Solanum lycopersicum: one gene and its partners. The main gene of each other region encodes a partner of the protein of the gene in region 2 in a complex. Links are inferred from orthologs where the notes say so. Each region holds a gene or a part of one and is shown on either strand. Other genes may lie near its edges.

Evidence for each region.
Region 1: coenzyme F420 hydrogenase_dehydrogenase beta subunit-like (region 2) and probable chlorophyll(ide) b reductase NYC1, chloroplastic share a complex: the UniProt entries of both Arabidopsis thaliana proteins name them as parts of the SGR1-CCE-LHCII complex. The link is inferred for Solanum lycopersicum from reciprocal best matches to the Arabidopsis thaliana genes HCAR and NYC1.
Region 3: coenzyme F420 hydrogenase_dehydrogenase beta subunit-like (region 2) and red chlorophyll catabolite reductase, chloroplastic share a complex: the UniProt entries of both Arabidopsis thaliana proteins name them as parts of the SGR1-CCE-LHCII complex. The link is inferred for Solanum lycopersicum from reciprocal best matches to the Arabidopsis thaliana genes HCAR and ACD2.
Region 4: coenzyme F420 hydrogenase_dehydrogenase beta subunit-like (region 2) and chlorophyll(ide) b reductase NOL, chloroplastic share a complex: the UniProt entries of both Arabidopsis thaliana proteins name them as parts of the SGR1-CCE-LHCII complex. The link is inferred for Solanum lycopersicum from reciprocal best matches to the Arabidopsis thaliana genes HCAR and NOL.

Annotation. Positions count from the first base shown.
Region 1 is NC_090806.1:26,307,512-26,313,622, reverse strand, and holds the start of probable chlorophyll(ide) b reductase NYC1, chloroplastic, read right to left. Parts: upstream 3,739-6,111; 5' UTR 3,274-3,738; coding exon 3,004-3,273; intron 2,929-3,003; coding exon 2,850-2,928; intron 2,771-2,849; coding exon 2,635-2,770; intron 2,572-2,634; coding exon 2,497-2,571; intron 2,425-2,496; coding exon 2,229-2,424; intron 1,840-2,228; coding exon 1,771-1,839; intron 1,204-1,770; coding exon 1,064-1,203; intron 931-1,063; coding exon 808-930; intron 1-807. UniProt on the Arabidopsis thaliana protein: Involved in chlorophyll b degradation. Belongs to the chlorophyll catabolic enzymes (CCEs).
Region 2 is NC_090808.1:67,934,808-67,941,035, reverse strand, and holds the start of coenzyme F420 hydrogenase_dehydrogenase beta subunit-like, read left to right. Parts: upstream 1-2,046; 5' UTR 2,047-2,069; coding exon 2,070-2,145; intron 2,146-2,293; coding exon 2,294-2,396; intron 2,397-3,590; coding exon 3,591-3,675; intron 3,676-3,907; exon of another isoform or gene 3,908-4,026; intron 4,027-4,976; coding exon 4,977-5,088; intron 5,089-5,231; coding exon 5,232-5,316; intron 5,317-5,473; coding exon 5,474-5,515; intron 5,516-5,616; coding exon 5,617-5,695; exon of another isoform or gene 5,696-6,228. UniProt on the Arabidopsis thaliana protein: Probable iron-sulfur flavoprotein that converts 7-hydroxymethyl chlorophyll a to chlorophyll a using ferredoxin as a reducing equivalent. Catalyzes the reduction of a hydroxymethyl group to a methyl group. Belongs to the chlorophyll catabolic enzymes (CCEs).
Region 3 is NC_090802.1:10,422,693-10,428,787, reverse strand, and holds red chlorophyll catabolite reductase, chloroplastic, read right to left. Parts: upstream 4,066-6,095; 5' UTR 3,999-4,065; coding exon 3,666-3,998; intron 1,171-3,665; coding exon 559-1,170; 3' UTR 413-558; downstream 1-412. UniProt on the Arabidopsis thaliana protein: Catalyzes the key reaction of chlorophyll catabolism, porphyrin macrocycle cleavage of pheophorbide a (pheide a) to a primary fluorescent catabolite (pFCC).
Region 4 is NC_090804.1:48,919,173-48,924,722, reverse strand, and holds part of chlorophyll(ide) b reductase NOL, chloroplastic, read right to left. Parts: intron 3,915-5,550; coding exon 3,853-3,914; intron 3,035-3,852; coding exon 2,936-3,034; intron 1-2,935. UniProt on the Arabidopsis thaliana protein: Required for chlorophyll b degradation. Chlorophyll b, chlorophyllide b, pheophorbide b and pheophytin b can be used as substrates. Belongs to the chlorophyll catabolic enzymes (CCEs).

The DNA of each region.
Region 1 (6,111 bases), on a different chromosome or scaffold from region 2:
AGTATCATTATTAACCTTCTCCATGCGGCAAAATTAGCCGAAGAAAACATAACCTGCCCATGTTTCAATGGGCTATTGACCCGACCATTTATTAGCACAACCAACCAATTTCAGCCCAATTTCTATTGCATTGATATGTAGCATAAATTGACTCATGAGCAATCTTGTCAACATATTTTCAAAAAGACTCTTTCTAAATTTGATATGTTATGTATAGTCGTAATAAAGGAAAACTAGTTTTATAAAGTCCAAAAAAAGAAACAATTTTAAAGAACAAACAAAGCATTAAAACTTAATAAGAATTGGATTGGTTGGATACCCGCATTTTGACCCATTTCAGTCCAATCCATAGCAAGTAACATTTTGGGTGGGTCAATAACCCACCCATTTATTAACTCAAGCCATTTTGACCCACTCAAATTCAGCCAAAACCACCCATTATATGTAATTGTAGGCATTGGAGATCGAGTATAAAAGGGAGATCACTAAATTAGGCTCCAGTTTTACCATTATGGAAGGATTAGAAGAAGTGATCACAATTGATTACTATAACAAAAAAAGAAGTTGAAATTTTCATCCTTCCTTGCACACCAGAAAAGAGAATTATATAAGAGGTAAGAATCTCTGTTCTAACATTACTGTAGTCTTTATGTACCGCTGAATGGTGTGGATAACTAGTCCTCCTTGGTAGCACTACCAGAAATAATACCAAACCGGACAGAGTTATCCTTCTACAGCAATACATTGTCCATGAAAGCAACGCAAAAGACATTTAAGTGCAAAGATCCGATGATCCTCTTCACATACCTCAGAAGTAGGTCGGTTAGGACCATGCCTGGAGACGCCGTATGCACTCCAACTTTTGACCGCTTGCACTCCTTCAGTAGGGATGATTGAAGCTGCCTGAGACCACATTTTGTAGACCCATAGCTGCAGAACAGTAAAGATGATAACACCGAAATCAATATCCATTAGAAAAGTATTAGATGAATAAATGGTAAAGATCTGCTATTTACAATAGATAACCTAGCATTCCAAGTTACAACCACAACAATCAACTTACACAGCTGTTAGAGGGGTGCTAGATCCTCCAGAACCTGCACCATCCATATTAAAGACATGTCCACCTTCGCTTTGGGTTTTCATGATTTGGATGGCTTCTTTAGTGCATAGTATAGAACCAATCAGGTTTGTTGAGACAATCTGTATAAAAAAATTTGGTAAGCAACAGACCAGAAATACTTACTAGAATATTAGCTTACCCATCATGCAAGTACACACAGCAGATAGTTGATTATTATATGCACATGGAGTGTTAACTTGAAAAGGTCAACAAGCATGAACACCTTGCTATGCATGACGAAACGGGGAAATTTTCAAGTAGTAGTTAAAAGAAGGCATTAGTACATATTGATGGATAATTCCAGGAAAACGGAAAGTTAAAATGAGTGACCTGGTATATAAAGTATACAAACTACATATAGGTGTTGGGGGGACGGGGAAAATAATTTGTTAACAAAGTTCTGCAACTGAACAGTTAGAAAACCCACAGTGCATACACCACCCACCCTTCCACAAGAGAGGGGGGAAAACAACAAAAGCAGCTCTTACTTGACAATTTAATATACCCCACCCTAATACCGACCCACCCCCGATCCATCTTCTATTATATATGCAGCCTTGAAAGCAATTATTTTGCAAGAGTTTAGAAATGGAAGAAGTTGTAGAGTATCAACATAAACATATGAGAACTGTCAACAACATGGATACCTCTTGAATATCATTGTCGGTGAACTCCAGCAAGGGTCGAAAGCCTTTGTTTGTCCCAGCATTGTTTACCTATATAAAAGACAACCTTTAGAAGCATGAAAACAGAACAACAAACCAGGAAAGAGGCTGTTTTTCCTCACAAGTCCTCTGGATGTGGATGACTGTATTTTCTACTCACAACCCTGTAGTTCTTGTCATATGTTGTGTATTGTATTTTGATTATCCTACTGTTATTGTTTTTCTCTTGACACTTCCAATATTTTCTCTCCTTTTACTTGGGTTTAATGCTCTTGAGTCTAGGGTCTTCTCGAGACAGTCTCTCTACCTCCTCGAGGTAGTGGTAAAGTCCAAGTCTGTGTACACTCACTCTACCCTCCCAAACCCCACTTTGTAGGATTTGACGGGGTATATTGTTGTTGTGGTGGTCTTTTGCTATGAAGAAAAAGAAAATTACTCACCCAAATGTCAATATAACCAAGTTCATCTGCAGCAAACTTGCCCAGTTCTTTAACATCAACAGGTTCAGAGACGTCACAAGCCATACCAACCAGTTTTGCATGTGCCAACTTTAGTCTAGCAGAGCCGGTGGCAGCATTGACAGCTTCCTTCAGATTTTCCTCAAGCTCCTCGATAGTCAAACGGACAGATGCCGGGCTGTGTTAAGGAATGATGTATTTACAAGAGATGCTAAACAAAATAAGTGGATGCAAATAATCAATTAATTACCTGCGGGAGGTAACAATGACCCGATCTCCAGAAAGTAAGAATTCGCGGGCAAGAGCTTTCCCTAGTCCCCTTGTACTGCACCAAAAAATAATTAAAATGGTAATTACAAACAATGAAGGTATGAGTAAAGTATTATACCTTCCAGTTATAAGGACATTACGGGGGCCAGCTCGAGCAACATCATCCAAAACTAAATTGGATCCTATCATAGTGCCGATAATAATTCCTCCAAGCCAGCTGTACCATATCAATTCATTCATCTGGCTATCTCCACCTGTAACAATTAGAATTAGTTGTTACCAATCAATCCATGCCTTAAAAACTTTCAAAAGATGATAAATGAATTTGCTAACCTGACAACTGAAACCCAACGAACATGACAACACCTGTGCTCATCATTGTTATAATATATCTTCCAACATATAAAGCCAACTGCAAGATTGGAATACAAATTTAACTTTTTCCCATTCTCAATTGATGTTAAAGATGTGTAAGAAACATATGTACCCAGAATAATCTCTCTTCCAACATCTCCATAGCTTCTCTAAGCTTATTTTCAGTTCTCAAACTTGGCTTTGAACAACTCCATACAGCAGACCTAATAGCTCCAACCAACTTGTTCACCTTCACATACTCAGCATCATCAGACTTAAAGCTCCTGCAAGGTTGTACAAAAACTCTACGTCGTCCATGAACCTTCACAATCGAAGGCCGGAAAACATTACTGCTCGGTAGTAGGTGGTGCGTTGACACGTGTACCTTCGCCACCATGTCCATTTATTATTTTAATAAAAATAAAAAAGAAAAATGGTGCACTTTTTGTTTTGTTTTACAAAGATCTATATGAATTTTATATATATGCAAGGAAAGAGATATAAATATCCAAATTTTTAGGGATTTGGATTGTGTGACTTGAAATTTTCTCGGATCTAGTCTACTACAAAAAGAAAATATCTAAGGAGTTGGAAGGAATTTGATTTTTGAAAGATCAAAGGGAAACCAAGTTGATGACCACACGTTAAAGCTACTCTTTATCTACACGTTTCATCTGCTACGTGTCATTGTAGGTCCGCATATATATTACCGTCAACATTATCTCCTTCTCCCACTTGTGTTTCAAAAATAATCAAAACTTCAATTCTAATGTGTTTAACAAAAATCAAATACGCAAGTGAATTGTCTATTTGAGTTTATTCATGAATTCTGTATGTATATTTCTAAGATAATATGATCCATTGTGGTAGCTATGTACCTACTTGTTTGGGCATTTAACATTATCACATTTTGAGTGATTTTTCAACACTGTTTGGTTATGGTATAACTTGTCTCTTGTTCATGTATAAAATAATGTATTAAGTTATGCAATATTTAGTAGAAATTCTTGTTTAGGTAGAAAAGTCAACATAACTTATATCATGTTTGGTTGCATTTTTGTAGTTTTATATAATTTATATCAACATAACTTATGAGGGAATCTATGTATAAAGTTATGTAAGGTAGAAAGTAAAATAAGTTATGCGGGTATTATTTATACATGTATTAAAGTGACAAATTACATATTTACCCTATTAATTTATTTTATTGTTTATAATTAGAAATTTTATTGTATTCCTATATTGTTATTGTAACTACCCGCTAGGTCGTTTTGAGAAGTAGGACTAGTTTGGCTCCTTTTGAAAATTTAAAGGGTTATTTTTAAGCTTTTAGATAACTATGAGTACCTAATTGATGAAACTTTTATTAAATAAATAATTAGATAATAGATTAGTGGAGTTTCACGATTAATAATTTCTTATTTAGAAGAAAAGAAAAAACGAAAAGTAAGGAGGCGAAACCTTATCACAGGCTACCAGCGAGAGGGAGAAAATCACAGCCATTGTTCAGGTAAAGATATGAGATATTCGTTCTTTTCAATTCTATATATAGTAATATATTGTCGGAGTGTTTGGGATTGTATTATTATTCTATGCTATATTGATAATGGGAGAATTGGTGGAGATGTGGAAAAAAAAACCAATCTTCTGCCAATGGAGGCATTCGCGATGTGTATGTTGTTAGCACTGCTCACGTTTCTTCGGAATCCTGCCAAGAAGTTAAGGCAGTGATCAATTTCTTGAAACCAGAGGTTGTCTTCTTGGAGTTATGCTCAGGTCGGGTGGGTATACTCACACCTCAGAATTTAAAGGTACCAACAATGGGGGAATGCTTTAATTGGCATGCAGAACAAATAGCACAAAAAAACGGGAAAAGGGGAGGGGCGTTCCACTTCTGCCAATGGGTGGAAATTTTGTTCACGTGTATTCATATATTAAAATGCTAGTTTTTAATATATTGGGACTGGTAATTAATTATTAGGTGTTATTTTATATGATCTAACATTGAGTTTTAGTCCATTTGAAGAGGTTAGAGTTAAGTTCTTGGCTTGAAATTTAGCAAGTGTGAAAAAAAATTGGCATACCAATATATATCAAGATTTGGAGTTTGTTGAAAATATGTGTGAGTTTTAGCGTCTATGATAGACATATAATAATTTGAATGTCTACAAAAAAATTGCTTACTTACGAATATTGAAAAATTGGTAGATTGGGAACGTTCCGAAACCTTGCGAAAAGGAAAGGAAAAATCTTAAAAGATTCGTGGCACAAGCTCGGCATCTAAGGTATGTTAAGACTTTTTAGACTTGTTGAAGGACGTTTTCCTAATTAAAGATTAAAAATGAAAATAGACAATGGAGTAAGGGGGAAAAAGTGGTGGTCTCGTATCAATGGTGTGACGGGCATTGGTACGAGTACCGGTGTTATAAAAAGGAAAATTTCTATTATAGAATGTGGATTAAAATTTGAGAATGCCAAAGCATATGGGCATTAGCTGATATATTATTGACTTGAATTCCTTGTGTGATTGTGCTTTATTTATTTCACCCGTATAGTTGTGATAATTGAGGTGGTTATGTATTATGTTCATATTGATTGATTGAGATGCATCATCATCCCCTCTTTTGAAATAATATTGTGCACATGCATAGACATGAGACTGAGTATAAGTTGGGCACGTGGAGATCGTCCGTGCTGGGGATGGTGAGATGTTAAGATTGTAATTTGGGCACATGGAGACCGTCCGTGTGAAAATTGTTTGATATTATGATAGTGCGTTGAGATCGTCCGCACAGACACGTGGAGATCGTCCGTGTCGGTATATGGACCTCGCGAGTCCCCCATGGGTCATGAACTCTCAATGTATTTCCGAGGAGTATCATGTATATACGGTTGAGTGTGTATTGGGTATTCTGAGACAATTCATTACATGGTGTTACATTGCATTTTATTTCATCACATCATTTATTTTGATGATTATGTGTTTTGTTTGGTGTTTGGAAAATTCTTGATGTTTGATTACCTTTATTGATGGAACCTAAATAGTGAGTGTAATATATATATATATATATATATATATATATATATATGTACTTATATAATTTACAAATTTAATTTTTTGTATAAACTCCCGCCACTACTTCTTCGTTGTCGGTCAATGAGACATACTGGGTATACGTGGTTTCGTACTCATACTACGCTTGTTGCACTCCTTGTGGTGCAGATTCGATTCCAAGTAGGA
Region 2 (6,228 bases):
CTGGGCTCAATAACATGGGCTTGTAACCCAAGTGGGGGCATTAGTGTGGTGGAATGTTGGGCTGGTCATCCAAATGGTTGGGCTTATATCTGGCCTGCCCTATCGAAGTACAGAGTTGGGCCTTGTGGTCCAATCGAAGGAGTGGGCTGCTATTTCCTAAAGCGGAACGGACTGCGTGAGGTTGGTTTCACAGAGCAACGAATAGTTCCTGCTCTAAGCGTTGGAAGGATAGCACGTCGATGCCTTCCGAGTCCCAGAATCGTCAGATGGGCTGCTCCACTTTTTGGTCTATAAAACCATTTTTTCATTCGAATGTATTTTGAATCTCCCTAGTGAGAATTCTAATTTCGACGATATCTTTTCTTCCATAGAAAAACAACTTATATCTAAGAGATGTTAATGTTTTGAGTAAATATTTCATGTACCCAAATGTGGCAACCAACGAGTAAATTACTACTTTATGAAAATGCTTCTCAAGGAAATAATTACCACAATAAATCTAAAAATATTTACTCCATATTCATATTTGCTTGAGCTTCACGTGTATCATAATTTAAATTCGTTTATATCTTTTATCTTGGTTTTCACCCATTTAATTTCCCAAATACTAACTACGTAGATGTTACTCTTCTCGAGAATTTTCACTTATTCTCAATCGAAGACGTGGCCTTGATTTACTATCCAGTTCCTAAATGCAAGTTAGAGTGAAGCAAAATTATTAATGAGAACAAAAAAGGCAAGAAACAAACAAATATCTAGTACTAATTAAATCAAGTAACACAACAAACTAATAAATCAAAATATATTAATGATAAAATCAAACTTTATATTTTCAAAATAGTATATGCTTTGTTTATAGAGAACAAGCAATATTCCAATTCCCACATCGTTAGTGGACATATTTCTTTTTATTTTTATAATAATCTATGATGCAATATTGTATGTCGAGCTTAGTAACGTGGGCTTGTAACCCAAGTGGGGATGTTAAGGTGGTGGAATATTGGGCTGTCCCAGATGGCTGGGCTTGGTGGGCTAATTTCTGGCCTGCCCTATCCAAGCACAGAGTTGGATCATGTGGTCCAATTGAAAGAATGGGCTACTAGATTCCTAAAGTGGGGTGGACCGCGTGAGGCTGGTTTCACAGAGCAACGAAAAACTTCCGCTTTGTGCAGTGGAAGGATAACGGACCGGTGCCTTCCAAGTTCCATTAATGCCTGATGGGCTGCTCCAATTAAACCACCACTTTTTTTCCGATATAGTGACTCATGAACTTCTCAATTTTGCTGGTTTTGTAAACGGGACTTATGATTTATATCGTTATCGGTGCCTTCCAAGTTCCATTAATGCCTGATGGGCTGCTCCAATTAAACCACCACTTTTTTTCCGATATAGTGACTCATGAACTTCTCAATTTTGCTGGTTTTGTAAACGGGACTTATGATTTATAAGATATAGCGAGTAATGAACTTCTCTAGGTTTAATCTTCCAAGTTTTGAAAATGGAACTTATACTCCCATCGACATGTTATGTAGGACTTACGTCTATACCTTATAAGATATAATTTGTGACTTTATGAACTTTTTAAGGTATAATGTTTTGAAATTGAACTTATGTCTACAGAGGCATAAGTTTTGTATGACATAACATATGCCTTACGATTGTATTTTCAAAGACTATTGATCCGACGAACAAAAATTAAAAGCCACCCTATTTTGAGTATTCATATGAACGACTATATGATTTTACTTCAGTGAAATGATATGGTATGTGTTGTTTATCTCATCAAAATTTCAACACAATATGTTATCGAGTACTTATTCAGGAGCAAAGCTAGGTAGGACCAAAAGGATTCGTTCGAATCACTTTCAGCGATTCATTGTTTATAAATAATTAAAATTATTTCTTAATTTTCTAAATATTTAATATTTCACTTTTTTTACTCATCCAAAAAAATAAAAAGTAGAAATTAATTAAATACCGGACGACACCGTTTTGGTTCCACCCTTAAAAGAATCTCATTTGATATATATTTGTGGCGCAAAACACTTGTGCAGATACACAGAGCAACAATGGCGTTTCTTACTGGAAAAATCTCTACTTTACCCTTCAAATTTTACACTGTTTCATCTTCTTCACAACAACAAGGTTTTGTTTCTCTCCATTTCTACATTCACTGAACAAAATCCTCTTAGAGGAACTTTTTTTTACAAAAAATGACAAACTTTTGCTATGAGTTTTTTTTTTAAAAAAAATTGAAACTTTGTGTGTTGATGTTGTTTGAATTACTCAACAGATGCAAACCAAAACCTGAAATCAGTGAAAATTAGAGAAGATTGGAGGAAAAAATCTCGACCTATTCCTCCTGGTGGGACTTATCCAGCTAAAGACCACTGCAGGTTCATAATTCTGCTTTTTTTTTTCTTAATATAATTGAAATTTTAGCTTTTAATGCTGTAATGGGAGGTAAATTGCGTAGCTTGATCATTTTTCTATGTATTTTTTTTTTGAAGTTTTTAGTTTTTGTAAGTTAGACTAGTGAAAAAGTTGTTATTTTTATTTGTTATCTTTAAACTATGACATAAATACATAGATAGATATCTTAGGTTGGGCTCAATTGGCAACTGAACACTCAAAGTGTGCATCTTAACTGGTCTTGGCTGTGTGAGTTAAACACTCCCAACGTACAAAATGATCATCTAGACATATAGTGCCGGGTGTCTCGGAGACCGTCTAGATGTGCATTCTTAAAGTTGGAGTATTTAGTTGTTAGTTAAGCAAAGTTAAGGTGTCTATTTATGAATCACTCCCTCTCCGTCCAATATTGTTTGTCATGTTGTGTTTTTTGAAAGTCAATTTGACTAATTTTCAAAGTTAAATTAAATCACATTAATTCGATATTTTAAACAAAATAATTAGATATTTTAAAACTATATGAAAAGTACTATAAATTGCAATTTTTTGCATATTAATACGATGAAAAAATACACCTTAAAATGTTAGTCAAAGTTTTTATAGTTTGACTCTATGAATAGACACCATGACAAACAATACCGGACGGAGAGAGTGTCTTAAACTAATATGTGTTTGAAGAGTTCTCCCTTTTCGGAAACTATAATGGTTCAATTTTCATAGTAAATGTGAAAGAACTATAAATATGAGGGAGATTGGGCATTAATTTGGCATGAAGTATAAAAAAGAACCTGAAGTATTCAATTTGAAATGGAGGAAGCATTTCATTGGGTCTTTGAAGCATCGTAGCTTTCCATATCAATTCGTCCTAAGTTGGGTCAAATTTTGTAGAATGGAAAAAAAAGGAGCTTGAATGATGAAGTATTGTTTGGAAGACTGAAATATAAGTTTTGACGTTCACAAGAATATCATATATATTAATTAGCATTTTTTTTGAAATTGGTAAATAATAATTAACATTATTTATATACTAATTCAATGTTTTTGAGGATTATAAGTTAGTATCATTTAATCACTCATCTTCATACTTATTTAAATTAATTTCTTGTATATTTTGTGACTATTTCGTAATCATTATAGTAGTTTTTTGTCTGATGGTAGTTTTTGTTTCTGGTTTGCAGCCACTGTGGTTTGTGTGACACTTACTACATTGCTCATGTGAATAATGCATGTGCTTTCTTGGGGGATGGCATGTCTAGAGTTGAAGTGAGTCTTTCTCTACTTTAGTACATGTAGATACTGTTGCTTTTAGTTGCAGTTCTTATTGTTTATGCCTAGTTTTTGTTCCTTAAGTTTGTCATAAATGACCTACTGGAGTTTGATTATTGCATGCTTTCATTGTCACATGCAGATTTTCCCTGTGAATTTTGTTTTGTCTTTTGTGTCCTTTGAAAAGCTATCTCATCCATATGGATTTACATCTTATGAATATGTACAGTGTATGCAGTGAAACAAGACTTGGCTGTGATATTGCAGTGTGTTGTGGAAGTCATAAGAAAAGTTTGCAAGCTAGAAAGATGCTCAGAGAGAGTACTGGTTCATGTTCTCTGAGACCGTGTAATCCACTATTAGCTCGTGTGCAATTGAATTCATCTTTCTTTGGTCACTCCACTTCCATTAAAATCCCTTCTGTTGGGAGCATGAGAGTTTTTAACACTTTGTTATTAGGAAAAGTTGCATACTAGAACTTGATGGGTTCACTGGTCCTCGCCTCCGACCCCAACTAGTTCTTTTGACAAGCATGTTTGAATTTTATATTTCTGTTTCACTCTCTTGGGTAAAAGGTATGCTGCTTTGAATGTTGACAAGATATGGAATAAATGAAGTTTTAGGCATTATTATAGAGCTATAAATTACACAAGGTACAAGACACGTATAGTGGATCTTCATAAGAATGATTTCTCTAGTTGTTAACATAATCTCGACATACTGAAATTTATGGGGTTGATAATGTTATACTGAAACACAGTATGGTCGGACTCTAATCAGACTCCTCATAGGGCGATGGGAAAACATTCATAGACCTCCATCAAAGTCTTCGCTATGGTGTACATCTGTCCTCTTCTCTTTTCTCTTTTCTTTGTTTTTTCTACCTTCTGTTTAATAATTTCATACAGCTTAGCATAGTTTACAGGTACAACGTAATCTCGTGACAGGTCAAACTTTTTTCCCCAATTCTATACAATTTTTTTTTTTTTTTGGTTATTGTCCAAAGGAACTTGGTAAAGTTTGAAAATTATTCCGTCTTTAGTTTGACTGGTGGGTGGAGGGTGACAGGGGGTGCATGTAAGTTCTTTTATGAGAAAGAATGATTTGATTACTCACTAAAAAACTTCAGTGCTTGCTACGAGTAGCAGTTCCTTGGAATGCGTTCTCAACTCAGTCATGCTATGCTATTAGGACCTTCTCTTTTGGTCAAATTTATATGAAGTAGCTCAAAGTACAGATAGTATTTCTTATGGTAAAGTGACCAGATGATGTTGACTGTTCCTTATCATCTTCTTTAGGCTTTGGAACCTATTGTCCATGGACGAGGACGGAAAGAAGATTCCTTGGATGAGATTTATATGGGGGTGTATGAGAATCTATTGTATGCTCGTAAAACTAAGCCTGTGGAAGGTACAACTTTGGATGCTCTTATGTAGTATTCTAGTTCAATTTACTGTTGCTTGTTTTCTTGTGCTCTCTAGATCACTAAAAGAATGTGCCAATTTCTATGAATCATCTGGTCATATTCCTATCTTTTTCTTTCTGGCATTCAGGAGCTCAATGGACGGGGATAGTGACAACTATTGCCGTGGAGATGCTAAAAGCTGGGATGGTGGAAGCTGTTATTTGTGTTCAGAGGTATGGCTTGCATCCAATTTGGTTAAAAATAATTTAGTTCTCCCTCCTGGTTAATTTCACTGTACATGAGTTATGCACTTGAAATTTTGGTTTCTTTCTTCTACTTATTACCCAGCAATTCATGGACTCTTTACCTTCTTTTTTTTATGTTGTTTAGTGATCCAGAAGATCGATTTGCTCCTCGACCTGTCCTGGCAAGGTTTGTGACTGGGAATTCCTGAGCTATTTGTATTCATGTTGATTTTTTACCTGTTAATTTAACCATTTCGATCTTCAACTTTAATTTTATGTTTCTAATAGGACTCCAGAGGAAGTTATAGCAGCTAAAGGTGTTAAGCCGACACTGTCTCCTAATCTAAATACTCTTGCCTTAGTTGAGGTTTCTTCTTTCACTTCCATTATCATCAGAATCTTTGATTGTTCTGTTGTCATCAATGCATTTATAATCTGTGTAACTCTATTGAATTCTTAATGGAGCATGTTGTCATGGATTGAAGATGCCATATCTCTCCTCAATAGGTAATTGGAACTTGTGTAGCTATGCTTTCTTATTCTTCACCACACCACCAAATTAGCTTTACTATCACCCCCCCTCCCCCCGTCAGACCACCACAATCTAATACTGTAATTGCCCCAATCGGGGATTTTATTAAGATAAGCTCTTTTGATTTTCTGATTTGTTCCATATTATGGTTCGAGCTGAATTCCTTTCCTGACAATTTCAGAGTCTTTTTGCCAAATTTTTCCTCTCTATCCATTTGAAGGTCGTAGGTTATTTTTTGACTTTATTTTAACTATTTGAGCTTATTTCTCCCCAAATGCTTTCTCCCTTTCTTTTGGTAAGCATCAACCATCTGCATATCACACTTGTAAGGGTAGGCTTCTTGTTATTTCTTTTCATAACAATGCAAT
Region 3 (6,095 bases), on a different chromosome or scaffold from region 2:
AGAATTTGAGATTCTATTTCATGATACGTAATAATGAGATGAAATCAACATGAAATCACATATTTAAACGCTGATTTCATCTCACGATTCCATATCATGATATGGTATCGCATGACAAAATACCTGCTAAGAAAACCACTAATTCTCACAACTTCATATTTTATCCCAACTTAGAAATGTTTATAATGCTTTGTCAAACTTAAGTATTCTTTTCTTTTTTTGGGCCTAAATCCTCTTCCATCCAATTGGAAAAATGGTCTATTTCTCCCTTCATAGTCCACTTCATTGTAAATGATTGTCTTAAATTACTTGTCAATTTTATCAAATCAAAATAAAATTAATTAAAATTCTCTCTAATGCCGTAATGCGTGTTTGATTCCAGTTCTAGATCTGTTAAAGTGAATATAACCCCTTTACAAAGTGGCATATGATATAACACCTTGGTAAAATACATATTGTTATTCTCAATATACATCTTTTTAAATGTATTATATGTTGAAGAATTATAATGATTACATACAATTATCACACTATCAAACAGCAGCAGGACCAAGAAATTCAACTGTTATAGATTTCCCTTAGTACTCCTAAAACCTGGTTAGCTACTTGTTGCCCGAAAAGCCTAGGGAAGCTTGATTCAAGATCTATCTCGATAGTCTTATTCTTAATTATTTGATCCCTCTTAGCCAGATCTTTACTTTCATCATCTGTCAATCTTCTCTCAGTACAAGCACACAGATTCAACCATGTATCCAGCATTACCTTAGCAACAGGACTTATGTGATCCTGAATAATTTCATCAATGCGAATGGCCTGGGAAGGATCGGTTTCTATCGAAACCAAGATAGCTGATGGAGAGACAAGGGCACGAATATATAGAGAAGAAGAGAAATAAGGCTTTACCTCAGGTAGCTTCTCGAGAAGTTGTCTCTGCTTATCTAATTGTGTTTCCTCATAAAAGGTCTTGAGGTAATCGGGATGTTGGACAAGGTCCTTTCGCGGAGGTAGATCAAGAATGAGGATGAGAGTTGTTGGACTGCTTTGAATAACTTCAATTAAGAAGTTTGGTGCATCAGTTGAAGGTCTCAAATATACGGAAAGGCTTGTAATATTCAATGCTCCGCCGGTGGGTAAGTTGCAGTGAACCCAACTACCAAGTATGAAATCAACCTGTCACAATTTAGAATAGGCAAAAATATTAACCTTGCTTATACTCCTGATGAGAAAGTTGAAATCGTTAACTGTGTGTTCCCAGTTCATCTTTTATTATAGGCATTAGAAAAAGAACACTAAATGGACTTGTCAAAGAACTCTCAATGGAATGACTAACTATAAGCGGAGGAATGGAACTGGATAAGAATAAATGAACAGAAGCCAGATCCAAATTGCTATCTCCCTGATGCTTTTGCAGTCCTTATGTATAACTCCCCAAGAAGACATCAGGTGAATGCAACTTGCAGAGAACTACAAATTATGAACAAGGATAATTCTTGAAATCGAGCAGTTACATTGGTTGGTCAATTTTGGATGCACACTCTCTTAGCTTCTCTCTATGAAGATCTATTGATCTTTTCAGCAAACACCAATTGTGCATCGGAACCCACCTAAAACACTAGTTATACATTCAATCCATACTCATCTCAACCAACTGCAGTCTCTCCTACACCGACAACTCAGTAAAACGCACCCGCTCTCCTACAACCCCCAATGGTTAGTTTGAACCAATCCAGCCGAAAAATCCCAAACACACAATAATCAACTCCTTCTAGCACCAACAACCACAACACCAATAAACATCATCCCCTATTTCTTCCAATCCTTCAGAGGAACAACACATGGACAATAATAAACTCCTAAAGCTTGCCCCTAACAGTTCACCAGAACCTCCAACTTGCTATTAACACTCAGCCTACTCTTTTGCAGATCACGCATGCAACACCTCAACAGGAAAATACTACCCATTCAAAATCCACCCACCAAAATCATTTAACCCCTCAGCCAAAGGTGTCCTCAGATTTCACACACCCTCTTCAAAATTGAAATCGGATGACGCGACCAACATCAATGGAACTGATCATAACCCTGTTGCCACTGATAAATCAGAACCCCAATATTCAACTCCAACAGAAACATCCCAATTTAGCAGGGAAAGGTAAAAGGGTGCTACTTCATCGAAACCAACCTTCACAGAAAGGTTCAAGCTGATTTGCCAATGCCTCAATCGCCGAAGCTCCTGTTGAAATTAGGCATGAGACTCATCTCGGAAAGCCAACCATATATTTCTCTGCTGATGACTATTTCGTGAATTTGGCTAATAATTGCAAATGACTATTGTGGGTAAATTTATCAAAGGAACCTACTATGAAAGAACTAAGGAAAATTTTTGTGAGTCAATTTCAATTGAAAGGAAGAGTCGAGATTGGGTACTACAACTACAACACTATTTACATTGACTTTCTGTAACAAAACAGACTTCAATAACATTTTTTCAAGTCATTCATTCACATTGGGTCGGTCATACACTATGAAATCCTGAGATGTGCACAGAATTTTAAACCAGAGCAAGAAACTTCTATTGTTCCAGATTGGATACTAGTTCACAACTTACCTCAGCACCTATTCAGATGGGAAACTCAGTGCCGCCAGATATTGAAGTTGGGAATGGTAATGGTGAGAAGGTGAGATTGCAGATCATATGAATTTTCCCCCTACAGCTCCTGAAGCTAGGGAATGGGGAACAAGCAGAGATCAAACTACTTTGACAAGATCACAGAAAAACTAGTTGAGATGTATTTCACAGAACAAACTGCAAACTATTAAAATATTAGTGGGAGTTTGCAGCACATTCACGAATTTTGTTTGTTATATATTTTTTAATTGTAACGAATGGATTGTTATTTACTAGAAAGTGCAAGATATATAGCTTGAACAAGAAATACTCAATTTGAAATTAGCTCAAAGGAAACAGATTTGATAAAAATCTTGTCTGACTTCATTGGGTGAATAAAACCAAAAATACATTTGCTGATCTTCTTAACTCCCATCACCACATTATACAGATAAGTATTTGGCATTTCAATTCATGTTACTTCTATTAAAAGAATTAGCATACATAGTAAAAAGGACAATCTACAAAAAGCACAATGCGTAATGGATTAACTCTTCTGCATAAGCCAAATCCACTAAAATAAGATGACAAGATCTAGCTTTCTCAATCATTATTCTATAGTACATAATAATTTTCTTGTTTTCTTTATCAACTTCACTATGTACAAGATAGTAGTGTATTCATTCATATTGAAGGGCATTAGGAGAAAATTCTTGGCGTTTTTTTTTTGGTTGCATACTTTATGCATGCTCAAGCCTTGAAGCAAGGCTTACACATGTTGACCACTTCGCTTAATGTGCACTTCAGTGTCGTCATTAAGTCCCAAGACAAACTTTTCCTTGAAAATAAGGGTTCTAAACTATTGGTATCACACTTTATTATTATGAAAATCAATTTCTTTGTCCATAGATTTGTTATTCACCCTGTATATACTAATTCAACAAAACATCCAACAGGAAGTAATTCTATATCATACTACATATAATTGACACAACTGCAAAAACGAATGAATAGGTAATAAATAGTAGAATCAATTGAGGAGGTAGTCGGAGAGTACCTGAGAAGAGGAATTTCCAGATCTGACATAGAGAGAAGCATGAGCAGTAGCAGATTCATTCTCAAAATACTGCACATGAGAAGGCAGAGTACAAGGAAGTAGAGACTCTCCAAGACGATTCTCCACAGTCGATACAAGTTCCACCATTAACTCTCTATGCGGAACAGATGCATAAGGAAATTCCTTAAATTTCGATTCATGATGTTCCATGGAAGTTGATGACGACGAGCAACAGAAGCGTTTTCCGACGGAAAAAGAACGAGAGGAAGAAGAGGGGAGTGATTGTGTGAGAATTGAAGTGTGAAATTTGGCAGAGGAGAGTGGAACAGCCATAGCAGGAGGACTGTCATGTTCACTGCTATCTCTTTGCTTTTTGGGAAGCAAACGAACATCACGTGCTGTGGCCCATGTAATACGCTGTCGTTTGTATTTTTAAAAATCAGAATTTTGAATTAGGATTTAAAATACAAAAATTTGATTAAACATATCTTAAACATGGTTATTTTAATCAAATTTTTGTATTTTAAATCCTAATTCAAAATTCTGATTTTTAAAAATACAATATATATATATATATATACCAGTCATTTATTTCATATGTAAATAAAATTTATAATTTCTATCATGATTTTTTAAACGGTTTGTATCTCATATAATGATTGTTCTCGCAATATGAATTTATTTTGACTTTAAATTAATGCATTTCTTAATTTATCAATTATATCTATGAAAATTATTATATTTTATCAAATTTATAACTATAGTTTTAAAAAACTTGAATTGGTCCATAATATAAAAAGGAACTTTGCATATATTCACTCAAAAATAGCCTAATTATGCTTCATAGTTATAATTTGTTAATTACAATTCGTAGCTATATGTTATAGAGAAAGAGAGTGACGAGAGAGATTGAGAGAGGGATAAGAGATACGAGCGAGAGAGTGAGAGGTGAATTACACATGTATATCAGGTAGATAATTGTGTATTATACATATGTATTTCTATATATGGCAAGCGAGATTGAGAGAGGAGGGAGAGAGATGAGCGAGATTGAGAGATGGAGGAGAGAGGGTAGAAATGGGATAGAGGTAAATTGTGTATGTATATTGGTTAGATAATTGAATATTATTCATATAGGTTTTGTATATATGACAAGTAAGATTGGGAGAAGGAGGAGAGAAGCGAGCTAGGTTGTGAGAGGGAGGAGAGAGACGAGCAAGATTGGGAGAGAGAGGAGAGAATCAAGCGAGATCGGGAGAGGGAGGAGAGAGGCAAGTGAGAGAGGGCAATAATTTGTATATTCGCATCTCGTTTGTATAATTCGTGGGTACCTTTGTATAATTCCGTGTTTTTGCATGATTGAGCAATATTAAGTTTAAAATTATACAAATATGAAAAAAAACACCTCAAAATAACGAATTGATATAAATATACATTTATTGACTTTAAATAGTTACATTAAATAAATTATATTATAAAAAAAAAGTGCACGTTTATACAAACTTTTGAAAGCTATACACAAAAAGATTGAATATATAAAGTGACAAAACTGAGAAACCAAAGGAAATTATCTCATATGCAAATACAAATCATCGTATAGAAATATAAATCAAACAAAGAATTGTTAGTTGTGAATTATACGAATGTGGATAATTATACAAACGTGACTAATTATACAACTCGAAGTCAGCCCACATAATTAATGGTTAATGTTAGTCGCATGTGGTAATTATAGCAAACTATAACTATAATGAGTAATTAAGCTGTATAAGTTTGCTTAATCGCATAATTTTTCGTAAAATATAGATAACATGGGATAAATCCAAATACCATGCAAACCTAAAGGAGCCAAATGGCCCATATATAAGGCGACTCAAATCCTTGGTGGCCTAAGGCCAAAATTAAACTAGAGGCCTTAATTTTTTTAAAAAAATTATATATGTTTTTATTTTAAATCTATTTTTCTAGTTTTTCTTAGATGCAAAGTTGTTAAAAAAATTTTGTGTAGTCAATCTATTCTAGTAATTATTTTTCAATCGATAATATAGTCAATCCACTTAATTATTTTTAGACATTGTTGATCTTATATAAGATTTTATTGTTTTAAATTTTGAAAAACTTCTTTCTATTGAGACAACTGTTGCAGGATTTGTTCAAATGATTTTATAAGCAATATAAGCATTTGGAAAAGAATCAAGTCTTTTTATTTGATTGAGTATCTCGTTTAGAATATTGTCTTTTATTTGTATGTTTTTTCCTTAATACTTTTAATTCAAAAAATAATTCAATATCAAAATAAGTATTATATTTTAAGGAACATTCAAGATTAAGACAATTTTTTTTAAATTCTCGACATCTAATGATCTTAATTTTTCCCACTAAATAGAAAACAAAAAATATTAATATATACTTCAAATTGTTCATATCTAT
Region 4 (5,550 bases), on a different chromosome or scaffold from region 2:
AGCCATCAACAGCCTCTCTACCTCCAACCTCCAACCTCCACGAGGAAGTGGTAAGATTTATGTACATTCTACCGTCCCCCAACCTCACTTGTGAAATTTCACTGGGTATATTGTTGTTTTAAAAATAATGTCTATTTAACACATGTACCTTATACCCATTTAACCCACTCTAAGAAATGAGTCTACTTAAATGACATGAGAATAATCTAAACCCAGAACATCACTCAACACCCACAAACTTGGGCTCAAGTAACTTCACCTAATACACAAAGTAACAACTACAGATTCAACACAAAGTATAATATATCAAAATTAAATGTTATGGACCTTTATAATTATAGGCACCAACTGATAAGTAGTAATTAAAATGGTAACAAACATGTTAGAATAAGTTACATATTACACTGATAACATAATGTTAAAAAATCAGAATGTTGTGTACACATAACTTCAATGCAGAAAATATAAGACAACATACTCCCTTGCTTCTACTTAACCATTCTCTTTTGTTCCAAACCCTCATCTCCATTCCTTTAGCCTTCAGTCTATTCTCCAAAATCTCCCTACTCTTCAAAAAACAACACAAAGTTGGTGGACATGTATGATAGAGAAACGCAGGATTTCATGAACATGGAATCCTTCTCCTAAATTTTCGTAATTCGTCCAGCACCAATAAAAGACAAAGCCATTAGGATTTTTGGCAAAGAACTAGATGGTGCTCATGACTACACCGCTGCAAAGGGACCTGTTATAAAGAAAATTTAACAGGGCTGTCAAATTATCTTTGCATGTGTACAGTAATGTCGAATGATTTAGTTGAGTGAAATTTTCTTGAACTCAAGTTCATGGGTGTTGATTGATGTTCTAGGTTTACAAGATAATTTTCGTGTCATTTAAGCAGATCCATTTGTTAGGGTCAGGTTTTAATGATGATTTAATGTATGCAGGAATATTATGGAAAGTCTAAGCTATTAATTACTGAAGATTTTCAAGGACTTAATCAAAGGCAGATCTTAGATGACTTCCAAGGAAAGAAGCAAGACTCACGGAGATCACATGGAAGCAGTATCAAGTACTAATCAAGACCCAGTGAAATTACAGAAGTGGCAAAAGAGATATTTGGAAGATTAGTAAAAATAATACAACAGCAGCCTCTTGGATGAGTTGTCCCTTATTGTTGGAAAGGAAATCAATTTCCCTTATCAAGGATCAAATCCTTAGGGTTGCCCTCTCTGCTAATGAAACAACAGTCCTCATATAATCAATCATTGAAGACCAAAGACTAACATACGTTTGTATAAAGCCTCCTCAAAGTGCATTGTTCTACTCTTAACAAGCATTGTAATTCTTAAATGGTTTACTGTGTAATCAAAACAGAGAAGAGAGGAAAAATATAGTTGGTGAGGCATTGTGTCAAGAGAAAAAAAGATCGAGTGTAGACGTAGGATTAAACCTTGAGGGACTTGTACTCATCAACTATTCAAAGTACTTGCATAGAAAATCCCTTGCAACCCAAGGGGACTGGACTAAAATCCACATTGGATCCCAACCGGTATAAAAATACCCAGTGTCATTTACTTATTGTTTTATAACTTGCGTCATCATTTAATTGCCAGTCATTACAGTTGAAGCTTTATTTTAAGAGGGAACCTCTCAGACAAGGCCTCCCTACTCCAATGGGAAGTACTTCTCACACTAGAAGGTCAGAATGGGAACCTACATCAAGTCATATGGTGTAATGGTCTGGAGGGTGATCAAATTGGGAGACATTCCCATACCTACAACTAAGAGTGATGATAAGGAATCTGGAAGCAAGGAAAAAACAACAGAAATTGAAGGAGCAATTGATCTATCAAAATTGGTGGACAAAAATAATACATGACTGGAAATTATTCAGGTATAATCTTAAGAAAATATTTACTATATAATGCAATCAGTGGTGAAGAATATCAAAAGATCACAAGTGGTGAAACTGCTAAAGAAATATGGGATAAGCTAGAAGTGACCTATGAAGGAAATGGCAAGTCAAGCAGACTATAGTCAGCCTTCTACTTTATGAGTATTATTCCAAATAAATGAAGGAGAGACTAATGAGGAATGTTCTCCCGACTGAGTAAACTCATTGGGGAACTAAAAGCCTATGGAAAAACCTATCCTACTTGTTAAATTAGGCCTTGGACCTAGCCCTCACCCCAAAAGCTAGCTTAAAGGGAGGAGAAGGATTGTCTAAGCATTATAAGGAGTACACAAATCTCATTAACCACCATATAAAACTTTTTTCATCTTTAACACTCACCTCATGCCCAGTGCTTAACATCTGGTGCGTGGGCAACTTTTAATTTTAGAGGCTCAACATAGGGTGAGATGGGTCTTGCTCTGATACCAAGTTAAATTAGATGTTGGGTCCTACCTCACAACCCAAAAGCTAGCTCAAACGGAGGACGATTACTCAAACCTTATCAAGAGTACACCCTTCTCATTAAGCACCAATGTGTAACTTTTGACATTCTTTAACACTACTATTAATCACATAAGGATTAAGGAAGGTACGCAGAAGCCTACCTCCTCAACGACATGCCAAAGATGTTGCTTTGGGAAGCATTAACCTCAAACAATACCCCTTGTGATGAACTAAGAGGAGATTTGATAATTGAATGACTTTGTTGTCCCAAAAGAATAAGTAACTTTCGTAGGTCATTTCCATAAGTTGGGTGAGGAATTAACTCTAATATTTATTATGACTTTGCAGCAGTTCAAACAACTAAATTTATGGATTAAGTACCAACAATAATTCTTGAACAAGCAGTGACATGAAAGGATAAAAAGAGAACATTTACAATCAAATCAGAAAGGGAACTGGACTTCTGATACAAAGAACATTGAGAGTGTTTGTGACCTTATCATCTTAAGCAAATTAAGGATCCAGATTAGATACCCATATGTCGATGTATTGAAGCTTTTCCTTCGCAAAGGCAACTAAGTTCTTCACGTCATCTCCCTCTCTAACATCACACTTGGTGCCCTGCATAGGGATCTGAATCAAGCATGTGAAGACAAAAATAATGCTTAAGCTAATCATGTAAAAGAAAGGCCATAACACCTGCAAGGGCCAGTAAGTATATTTACAGACCCTTGGTTTACTTTAAAGACATAATAATATATAATTCTAAACTACATATTAGGCAGAATATGGCACATCTTCAGCTTACCAAGGACATGACTTTAGATAGGAGGATATGGAGATCATGGATAGACGGTATGTAGGTATAGCTGGGAGTTGTCTTATTACTAGCCCATTCATGTATTTTTCTGGGTGGAAGTGTAGAGCTCCGTGCTGGTCGTAGTATTAGCATATTCATTAAGTCTTCGGTTTTTGGTATCCGAGATCATCTGTGGTTTACTGTGTTTAGGTAACTGCAGCTTGTTATTATTATGGCTCCTTGCATTGATATGCTCCAACTGCTTTGATATTAACTGTCAGTTTTTTTTTATAGTTAGTGTTTTATTTGCTTGAACCAAAGGTCTTACAGAAACAGTCTCTACCATGGAGAGTTAGTGGTAAGGCCTGCGTACACTCTACCCTCCCCAAACCCCACTTCTGGTATTTCACTGAGTTTGTTGTTGTTGTTGGTTTTTACTTTACAACCTTCCTTTCAATAGAACATGATTCAGGAAATCAAAAGTTCAAGTCAATCGGTAGGCATGAAGCCCAAAGTTATGTTAGTCATTAGCGAAATAAAATACTCATCAATCACCATAGAACCTGATTGAAGACGAAACTAGTGATGAGTACACAGAAAGAATCAAAGAATGACTAAAGGTCTATAAGAAATGAAGTGAAAATGGAGGTACCCACACATGCTGCTTCCCTGTTTCAACTCTTAACCTGTCGAGAGCAGATACAACTCTTTCATCTGTCAAAAAAAATGGTCAACTCTAAAGATGTAATTACATTTAATTCTAAACTACATATTCCAAAGAAAGTTGTTTCTTTTCCATTCAAGTGTAGGGAGATGAAGAGCTAACATAAAGAGAGTGTGAGCTTTAAAGCAATAAAATAAAAAAGAGAATGAGAATACATCCCCATGAGTTACAAGATAACGAATGGAAAAGAGAAAATATCACTGTATCAAGGTACCATGCAAAATCATCAGTCTTATGTTATTGCAATTATGGTTAGTTCAGGACCCGGATAAGACTCATCAAGGTAGGAGAGCAGCAATTATTGATATATGACTCCATAGAGATCAAACTAGATCATGAATATGCCATCCCTCCCAATCTTCCATTCAAACTTCAGCAGATCTCCTCCTTTCCTTTGTTTTCTAACTTCAGCAAACTCTGCTCCTTTCAACCCATATTATCTCCAATTAAGTAGCAAGATTCCCATTATCTCTATTCTAATAAACTGCATCCATTGCTTTCACTACTTCCTTAATTTGCATGTATGGCACTTAATGTCTCTAGAGATCACTAACCCAATGCCTGCAACTTTTTTTTTCTTCCCACAAGCTGTAGCTTCTTAGCTTTCGTTCCAAAAGTGACCACGGTCATCCTTAACAGAAGTGGATACAAACTACTCAAAAGTAAAATTTCTCCAACTACTCTGTTTACCCCTTATGTGAGCGTCTATGTTGCTCGGACTCTTCAAAAATGTCAATGGGTGCGTGTCGGATTCGCCAAAAGTAGTGTATTTTTGGAGAATCCAAGACGGGAGCGGCACCAAAAGTGGAGAGTCCGCGCAACTAAGGCGAGCGTGCAGGTACAAATTCACGAAGGCCAAATACAAATATTGGTTTCCGATCTTCTTCTTCTTCTATTTGATGGGAAGGAAAACTACAACAAGCTAATTAAAATAATAACCATAGAGCAGTGCAAACTTTCAACAACATGATCCCAGCATCCAAGTTATTCTGACTACTGAGCCTATTACAATTTCATTTTCTTTCTTATAGTATTGTGGCAACCAAAAGGAACTAACTATGAAGTAGTTAGTGTTCATCTGTTGCGCATCATATCTCTTGCTTGGTGAATAAGGAGAATAATGAAATATCTTTCATTGCCATAGTACACTCGAGTTTGATAACTGTAGCAATTGGACATCACACACCTACATCATATGATTTCCTTGATTTTTTTTACAATACGGTGGTGTATGAATCGTTTAATGTGCCTTGACTATTCCACTGAATACTTGCTAACTCCAATCAGCATAGGTATTCAGTAATCTGTCCATCAAGCCTTAAGCAGATGGGAAGTAATCACCTTTACCCTCCGTTTCATTTTATGTGTCTTAATTTGACTAAGCACAAAGTTCAGAAAATAAGAGAGACTTTTATATTTTGTGGTCTTAAACTAAACATGTATCCCAACTCCTCCTATATCATCATGACTCTCGAACTATGGTACACCACTAATGGCACATCGATTCCCATGATCCCACCATATATTCTGCATATTTCATTTTTACACAATTGACTACCTTTTTCACAAACTATAAAATAAAACAAATATAAGAGAGGAACTGAACAATGCGAAAACCAATAATTC